Daphnia pulex: one gene and its partner. The protein of the gene in region 1 purifies or fractionates together with the protein of each later gene. This does not show direct contact. Links are inferred from orthologs where the notes say so. Each region holds a gene or a part of one and is shown on either strand. Other genes may lie near its edges.

Region 1 (4,429 bases):
ATATTTTAACAATTCATTCATATTCTTCCAAAATCTCTTTAAGATGCTCATTATCACGAGGTTTCTTGAAAGTCCGCTTTTTCGGCGCAGCTTTCCGTTTGAGCTTGCCAGGCATGACTTTGAGGCTTGTGTCCTGCATCGAACGAATACCTTGCTTCTCCAAATACTCTTCAATCTTATTGTCGTCGATTCCGTCAACAGCAACCGAGCGCCAAAGCTTTTGAAACTCGTCGTCAATCGGCATATGCGCAGTCTTATCATTGTAAAATAGTATTTTCTTTTTGTCAATCGGTCGGGTGATATAGACTATATCCTTTTCGAGTACCTGTAATACAAATTCCGTATAAATTTGTTCAAAGGGCGTGAAAGAAAGTGTAATACATACTTTCAAAACTTTTTCATGATTTGGTAAGGATTCTTGAATATCATCAAGAAGAATGCCTCCAAAGCCCTTTAAGTCAGTCTGTCTCAGAAGCTTTAATAAGCCTTTACGATCCCTTATCCTGTAAGGAGGTTTGAACATGTATCTGCCATCAGAAGTCACATCAATTTTGGGGTTGCTACCCAAAGCTTCAGTTCTCAACCACTTTTGAAGTGACACAAGTAAATGAGTTAAAACAAAAATTTAAACCACATATTTTGAACATATTATATCACCTGAGAAATTTTCATGCCAACATCAAGTTGATTAGTTTCATCAAGAATATCCTCCAAACTTAAAGCATGATCACCTCCATCTTGATGCAATGTCTTCAAATGCTTCACAATTTTCGCCAATACACCAAATTTGTATTGTGAGCTACCTGACATGTGTTTGTAGCTAAATAAAAGAAATGTTATGCCAGCACTGTAATAACGAAATATTAAATATTTTGTTCTACTTGGTGGCATCAATTCTGGGTGCCACAGCAGTGGATTTTGGAGGTGGTTTAGGTTTCTTTTTTGTCTCATCTTCAGTTGCTTCTTTTTTCTTTTTGTTCTCAACTCTGGAAGGCAAAAGCAATGATCTTTCTATGGCGTCTAACAATAATGTATAATTTTTTAATACTTACACTGGCGTAGCGAAAGCCTTTTTCCTGAAAGCCTCGCGTTCACGTAGCAATGCAGGATCCATCTTTTTATAATGCTTAGGCCTAAATATAGAATATTAAAAACGAATAAACTTTCTAAACTGTTAAAAAACTGATGGGATCTGGATCAAACAACAAAACGTAATCCCATTCTCAAGTAAAGCAGACGTCATAACAATCACATACAGCAATGCCACATCAATCAATCCACCTTTTCATTGTTCGTAATTCTAATTTTTTTTTTTTGCCGCACTTTGGCCTGCTTCTGCTGGGGACAACGTTGGAAAATTTTTTTTAAATGTTTATGGGGAAATCATTTAAATGTAATTGATAATGTCTTGGAATCTGGATATAATCTTTGAAAATTAAGTTTACTTGATAATAATTGATTAGTGATCATACACAATTTACGAATTGACAAGAATCCCTTTCAAAGTGCCCGTGGGTGAACTTGAGCTTATTGGGAAATCTGGGATTGCACACGATACACGAAGTCGTTATTTTGGGGGAATGTTTCGTGTTTGACTATTTGCTAGCTTAAAAAGTCAAGCCTTAATTTTCCTATAGCGTTCCTCTAATTTTTTGAGAATTAAAAAAAGTTCGAGTAGCTATTTAACGACGTATAAAAGTTAAATCAAAACTTTTAGTGCTTAGTTTCCACCAGGTGGCTCGAAAGCAGAATGACGGGCAATTGGGGCAAATGAGGCAAACGCGAATTGTGTTATCAATAAGAATAAGTTAGGATTCTTCTAGTTAATGTATTTGATGCATTACTTTGAAGTGAAGAATCTATTATCTAATTTCTCGATGATAACGCCAAGTGAATAAGCCTCGCGTTTCGATTTTCAGTTACAAGTGTTTTTCGTTTAAATTGGACCAGTGTGCCCAACTTTGTTTGATCCAACTTATTTCCATCATGAGTGAAAATGCAGAAAAAAAATTGCCAGACGATTTGCCGAATATCAATTTTATGTACAAGACCATGTGTATGTTGAAAAATGTGGATGTTTTTATTCATCATCAACTAATAAAGTTTGGTGTTTATTTTTAGTGGCTCGTGATCCTAGTAAAAGAAGAGTCAAACCAACTCCAACAGTTGAATTATTTCCACTGACAATAGAGTCAGAATCAGAAGACTCTGATTTCAAACTTGAAGAAGATGACTCTGATTCAGGATCTGGCTCATCATCCGATTCTATTGATGAATCAGAACCAGAAAGTAGTGAGGAACTATCTGAATCTGAACAGAACAGCACACATGTTAATGGATCATCAACAGCTCCATTATCAGAAGGTATAAATTTTGTTTTCACTAACCAAACCCGTTCTTATTTAACTCTTTACTATTTTCTTTTTTAGTAATAAAGAGTCCTGGTGTGAAGGTACAAGAACCTATTGCCCCATGTAAAGTTACAAATTATCAATTGGTAAATATATTCCCAGAAATTTGCGGTGAAGTTTTGAAACAATCTGTATTCTTTTTGTAGCCTCCAGAAATACCACAAGTAAGAGTTTGCTGCATTTGCCTGGGTACACACAGCTCAGATGTAAATGAAGTGGTAGAATGTGACTCATGTGGTATATTAGTACATGAAGGTTAGTGAGACATTGATTCTTTTTTGTTAGGACTATTTTAAAAATAGTATTTTTAAATGTACCTTTCCATACAATAGGGTGCTATGGTGTAACTGAAAGTGGAAGTGTGTCTAGTACTGCCTCTTCATGCTCAACAGAACCATGGTTTTGTGAACCTTGCCAAGGAAATGTTATAAATCCACCTTGCCAGATGTGTCCTAACCTAGGTAAATAATCAGTTGTGGATTTGTAAAACAAAACAAACCAACAGAAATCAATAACTTTTGGGGTTTTAGGTGGAGCACTCAAAGAGACAGATACTGGACTTTGGGTTCATCTAGTCTGTGCGTTGTATACACCGGGAATTGCGTTTGGTGAATTAGACAAGTTAACTCAGGTATGGCTATACTACTTTGCTTTGTTCTTTGCCAAATTTTTTGTCTGATTCAAATTATTTTTAAGGTCACCTTGTTTGAAATGCCTTATTCTCGATGGGGTGCCAAATCGTGCTCACTTTGTTCTGATCCTTGGTTAAGTAGAACTGGGGTCTGTATCGGGTGCGACGCCGGAATGTGCCGAACATTTTTTCACGTCACTTGGTAATTCCTAGATTTCGCTTTGATGGTTTCAATATAAATTCCGATTGTATTGATGGTTTTCATTACAGTGCCCAGCGAGACGGACTTCTTTCAGAGACGTTTCATGAAGAAACCGTTCAAGCAGATCCATTCTACGCAAACTGCAGACTACACACAGAAAAAAGCACAATCAAGTATCACGATTATGGTGCTATTCATATTCGTATAGCAACTAATATATATTATTAACTGTATTATAGGAGAAGAAAACAAAATTATTTGTCTCATCAGAGACATCTAGTTTGGTGGACCAACAAGAGAAACACTGGCCGTGATATGTTGACATCAGGACAAAGTGAAGATGTGTCCCTGCGTCGGATTCTCCGCAAATTGGGGCGTCAACGAGTCAAATTCCAAACAAAACATTGGCCTCGTGCAAGTTGGGGTATTTCTCAGTGTCTTGTCGCTTTGTTTTTGTAACTTCATTAACCAATTGTACCTTTAGTTCCAACTCAAAAAATGCCTCGTTTGCTAACCACCTGTGCGTCTGCCGTGAGAAGATTACGCGCTAAAGCTGTCCTTATGGCTGTCGATGTCGAAGCGGAAGAGGTACGCGAAGCTCAAGTATCAGCGTTGGCCGACCTTCCGAAGAAATGGCACATACCACCAGCTTTCTCTGTTGAATTTATCGCTTATGTCATCGATAGAGAACGCAGAATTGCTCAACTTAAGGAACAGGTTTGTTGCGGTTTTTTTTTCCCCAATTTCTCGATTCTTTTCCGTTATATTTACCTTGATCTTGACGATTAGACAACTTCCATGAAAGAGGAATCTCGGGAACTGGATGATAGTGAAAAGCAATGGCGATTGCGGTATGATTGCCTTATTGAGGAGCAGAATTTACTTAAAAATCGGGAAACGGCTTACCGAAATCAATTGAACACGTTACATCACATTCTGTCAGCTGTTTCTCCCAAGCGTGGCTTTAATCACCCCTCAAGTCCACGACGAGGTATTGAAGAAAGCACCTCTAGTGGGCGTCGTTCCGGTCGACCTTCGTCTCCTTCAAAAATTCGGCCGAATCGAGACAGCATCGAAAGTGTTCCATCTCAGACCGAAAACTCCAACCAGAGTTCGCAAGATTTCTGGGTGGCCGATATTCGAGGTATTGTTTGTTCATCCACAGAAATGTAATTAAAAATATTA
Region 2 (4,513 bases), on another chromosome or scaffold:
AAATACCCAGCTACAATTTGATATGTACGGAACGGATGTAGAATCCTGATACAGTCCTTTATAAGTTAAAACTAAACTAAAACTAATGAAAATGTAAACGTATTATTCTTCTAGGTTATAGGCAAAATGCGGCCCGTATGGGATAGTGCTGAAAATAAAACTGGCTCCATCAGTGCGTTGTTTTGTTTATTTTCATTTTTTTTTTCAAACAAACAAATTCAAAGATTTTGAGTAGAACACCCATGGGTTTCCGCTAGAATTGTTTTTCCTTTATGGCCTTTAAATTCCTTCGAAATTAAAATTAAAATGAAACCCTCCATTGAATCAAGATGTTTTCTGCAAATAGTACATGAGGCTTAAACTAGTGTTACGAACTGTTATATGTATTATTCCCTTCAAAATATGTCATAATTTATTCCAACAACTCGAGTATGAAGACATCTTCGTCCAACGCCCATTGTAAAGTTTTTTTTTTTTTTCTTAGCTTGGAGAAAGAACGTGATTGGAAATTTCAAGCAGCGGTCAGTCTACCTAAAATGCATTGAACGGCTGGTGTCTTTTGTTTAGTGAAGGAGAACAAAGGCCCAAAGGGTCTTGAAACAAATTTGACCTGGGGGAAAGATACCTGGTTGGGGGAAGATCAGGACTAGCTACAATTTATTTCTATTTTTAAAAATAAAGCCGGATCCTCTGAAGTCTAAGCTCTAAGGTTTGCCGTTCGCCTGTAGTCTATGAATTCCGGCAAACTTGACGATTGTATTCTAATATCTATATTAGACGGTTCCGCTCGTGAGAATCGCAAGGTAATAAGGTATTGCACCATGAGTATAATAACCAGCGTTATTGCTGTGTCTACATGCTATTTGCTTAGCTTACGAAATAAAATGATGACACAGGTCGTGTTTCAAAATGTATTTCTTCATTGGGTAATCTTCGCTTTCTTTTTACTCGTAGTTCTGAATAGCAATGGTATAAAAGACAATATTTACGTTGGTTATGTAACCAAATCTGTAAATGAATACAAACGAAAATTACGAAAATGCTGCTTATTTAAAATTGCCAGCAAAATGTGCGTGGACTATCTGTTAATTAAATAAATTAGGGAGCAGATTGATTTCAATTACATTTGTAGAATATGATTACTGTTCCTAGCTGCAATTTTATCTGCACATTTCTAATTCGATGATATTCCGTTTTAAAAAAAAATTCACGATTAGCAAATGTAATTTCGAGTTTTCGACATCGAAAACACTCCATCTAGGTACATGTGATTTTTGACGCGGAGAAAATCAAATTTAAGCTTCTTCTGGTTATACTTTTTACTTAACAATATAATTCGAACACATATTTCATTGAAAACTTGTAATTAAAAAGAAATCGCAGATTTCAACGAATGACAATTTTGTTTAATAAAGAATGTTCAGAAATGGCGGGAAAGTGAAGCCTAGCTAGAAGGCATGTATGTATCAACGTTTCATTTGGCGCATCCCGGTAAGAAGAGGGTTCTGAAGTCCAGGCATACGCTGTGATACGCTGCTTGCTTGCTTGGCTTTTTCTTGTTCGACCTCGCCTCGTGTTGCCTTTCGTGGTCGGAATTTTTACCCTCCGAATTTAGACAATTTATCTGAAATCTCGGCCTTTTTCTGATCTACATGCATTACTCTTCGAGGTAACAGGTTTTATACGTTATATTAAGTCTTAAATATCTTGGTTTGGAGGTGCAACTGACCAGTAAATAGGACCACCAACAACATCGGTTTAATGGCGTTCAAAAGTGACGCATATCGATTAGGTTGAATTTATTAAGTCTTTTACCTCCCCCTGATAGCTTGCTAATTTGCGTTTTGTCTTGTTGTATATTTAAGTTTCAAAATTTAATGGTCTAAACTTATGATTTGTAAACATTTCCAGGTATAAGTAATGGAAGGTCATCACCAGCAGTCTAATGCAACCAATATGCACCAGCAGCACACAAATCCAGAACCAACCACTAAAAATCGTAGTGCAGGAGGAGGAGGTGCAGGCAAAACAAGTAAAAAGAGGAAAAGGAATCAAGATCTTGGTCCAGGAGCCCCTCGTCAACCTGTTAATGGTATAGATATTCTTGTCCTTGTTCACTCTAAATTTAACTATTAGACATATTTGCTTCTGAGCATCTTTGATTTTACTTCAACTTTATTCAGTTACTTATAGGGCATTCCATTGATTTTAAACATTTTTAATTTTGCAGGTTATGTACGGTTCCTAAACGAAAGAAGAGAACAAGTACGAGCTGCCAATCCAAGTGCAGGTTTTGCTGATATTATGAAAATAATGGCCCAAGAATGGACTCAACTACCTGCTGAGGAAAAGCAAAAATATATGCAAGCTGCTGAACAGGACCGTCAACGCTATCAAAAAGAATTGCAAGAATATCAACAGACAGAAGCTTACAAAAGCTATGTTCAACAGCAACAACAGCAACATGTTCAACAACAATTACATTTGCAACAACAACAAAGACAAGCTATGCAAGCTACTCATCAATCTCAGTCACAGGTAACATTGGTTTTTCCTTCTATCTGTGTACATTAATTTTTATCAAAAACACACGTCATGTACAGCAACAACCGGCGGCACATTCATCTCACAGCCAAGTCCAGGCTCAGCCATACATTCAACAAATCCAGAGTTACAACCCCCAGTTGCATATTGTCCAACATATGCAGCCAGGGCAACATCAACAGCATGGCGATAGAAGTAACAATGCCGCTGGTCACCGTCCTGATGGGTCAGGAAATCAAGTCGGTGTGTTCGACATTCCCATCTTCACGGAAGAATTTCTCGATCACAACAAAGGTACGATTATTTTAATAAAATTTCTATGTGTAGTTTGAAATGGAAATGCATTATTTTTATGTTGTTCATTTAGTTAGAATTTGATTTGTTAAGGACCTTTTGTTTCAAAAACAAATAGATTAAAAAAAACTGGTTTTCTTAAAAAACAAAAGAAGGATCTCAATTAAGATGTATTGTGTAGGACAAGTTTTTGGCTCTTATAGTTAAGAAGACTCCACCACACTGCCTTCTAGCCGTACACTACGCTCAAGGCGTGTAAAAAAGAAAAGTTACAGTTGTAGGCAGTGTGATGGATCTTGGCCTATTTTTAATCTAGTGAGCATTGCACCAATGCATGGGTCTGGCTATTCCTTCTTACCCATCACCTTGAAACCGTTTCCTTCTAACCCTGTTATGTTTGATGTGGCTTTTCAAAATGATTCAATAGTAGATGCTAAACGAGCTAAGCTGCCGATGTGTCATTTTCTCGTGTAGCGACTGGGGTGCAGGCCTTCTTCAATGCAAGAAATTTAATTGTTTTGTGAAAAGGATTTGATCCATAACTTTTTAACCACCAATGTATACTTTGAAGGATTTGAGTATATCTCATGGGGAAATGTTTTAAGATTGCGTGTATTCAGTGATAAAAATAAGTGTGGGATTTTATGCTTATTCCAAAGTTTTTACGGAATGAATAAAAGAAATTGCTGGGTTTACAATGCCATTGTGATGGTAGTGATTTCTTAGGGTAATGAAAAAGTACAAAATTGCATGCTCAAGTAAGATTTTTAGCTGTTTAAGTTGCCGAAGATTATGACACATTGGTTATTTTAAAACTATTGAGCCAAAGCCAAGTAGAATCGGAATTTTTTCCGTTGACACCAAAAATTTGTCTGGACTACCATTCCATTCAAATCATAAAGAAATTCCTTTGAACCCTTGACAACCCTGTAATGGTCCTGCCCCGTCTTAGTCCGAGAAACAGAGCTGCGGCAGCTGCGGAAAGCTTCAGCCGAGTACGAGGAGCAGAATAGCGCCCTGCGGAAGCACGTCGAGACTCTTCAAGCGGCCGTCAGTCGACTGGAAGCGGAAACAGAGCAGCAGCGACGACACAGCGCCGCGCTACAGCATCACCTCGACAGCCTGCGCGATGTGCTGGCCAACAGTTTTGCCCATTTGCCCCTTCCAGGTGAACCAACTTTCAGAATCTATTCAGATTTAAGAATGGACCAAATCTGGAAATACTAGCCTGTTTCTATATCTGATTCCAATCGAGTAGCCGCTAAGGTACGAATTTCGACAACTTTCGCTGAACTTTTTTTATCTGTCCTTTTCTTGGCACACCATTCTTGCTTTTCTTGAGAAAAAAAAGGGGGTTTGCAGTAGCCTTCGTTCATTCAATCAAGATTCAGAGTTGGTTTTGACAATTTGGTTTCCTTAAAAGTAAATCCGATCGAAATATGTAACTAAACGCTTCACGATTCCTGATGAAGGCCAGCGCTTTAACCAACGGCAATAATTTTTTGTTTCTTTTCATTTTTTCAAGGTTATAATGAGACTCCGACGTCACAAACGGTGGATAACTACATGGCCCATTTGCGCTCCATAATCCAGGAAGGATCGCCTGAAAATGCTGGATTGATTGCCGCCGCTCGCGATATCATATCGCGTCTGAATTATTCCGCCTAATATCTTC

What was found.
Region 2: the proteins of PHD finger protein 14-like (region 1) and high mobility group protein 20A-like purify together in Homo sapiens (affinity purification with mass spectrometry; 3 studies listed by BioGRID and IntAct, counting the BioPlex papers as one, with this or other methods). This does not show direct contact. The link is inferred for Daphnia pulex from reciprocal best matches to the Homo sapiens genes PHF14 and HMG20A.

Annotation. Positions count from the first base shown.
Region 1 is NC_060017.1:6,219,154-6,223,582, forward strand, and holds the start of PHD finger protein 14-like, read left to right. Parts: upstream 1-1,507; 5' UTR 1,508-1,986; coding exon 1,987-2,056; intron 2,057-2,121; coding exon 2,122-2,364; intron 2,365-2,429; coding exon 2,430-2,497; intron 2,498-2,557; coding exon 2,558-2,666; intron 2,667-2,743; coding exon 2,744-2,872; intron 2,873-2,941; coding exon 2,942-3,042; intron 3,043-3,107; coding exon 3,108-3,244; intron 3,245-3,312; coding exon 3,313-3,417; intron 3,418-3,483; coding exon 3,484-3,668; intron 3,669-3,728; coding exon 3,729-3,961; intron 3,962-4,033; coding exon 4,034-4,388; intron 4,389-4,429. Other genes in the region: general transcription factor IIE subunit 2-like, read right to left, coding at 14-325, 386-586, 658-820, 882-986, 1,053-1,114. UniProt on the Homo sapiens protein: Histone-binding protein. Binds preferentially to unmodified histone H3 but can also bind to a lesser extent to histone H3 trimethylated at 'Lys-9' (H3K9me3) as well as to histone H3 monomethylated at 'Lys-27' (H3K27ac) and trimethylated at 'Lys-27' (H3K27me3).
Region 2 is NC_060024.1:7,607,266-7,611,778, reverse strand, and holds the start of high mobility group protein 20A-like, read left to right. Parts: upstream 1-1,476; 5' UTR 1,477-1,669; intron 1,670-1,911; 5' UTR 1,912-1,920; coding exon 1,921-2,092; intron 2,093-2,230; coding exon 2,231-2,538; intron 2,539-2,603; coding exon 2,604-2,838; intron 2,839-3,154; coding exon of another isoform or gene 3,155-3,312; exon of another isoform or gene 3,313-3,533; intron 3,534-3,790; coding exon 3,791-4,006; coding exon of another isoform or gene 4,007-4,065; exon of another isoform or gene 4,066-4,104; intron 4,105-4,363; coding exon 4,364-4,506; 3' UTR 4,507-4,513. UniProt on the Homo sapiens protein: Plays a role in neuronal differentiation as chromatin-associated protein. Acts as inhibitor of HMG20B. Overcomes the repressive effects of the neuronal silencer REST and induces the activation of neuronal-specific genes.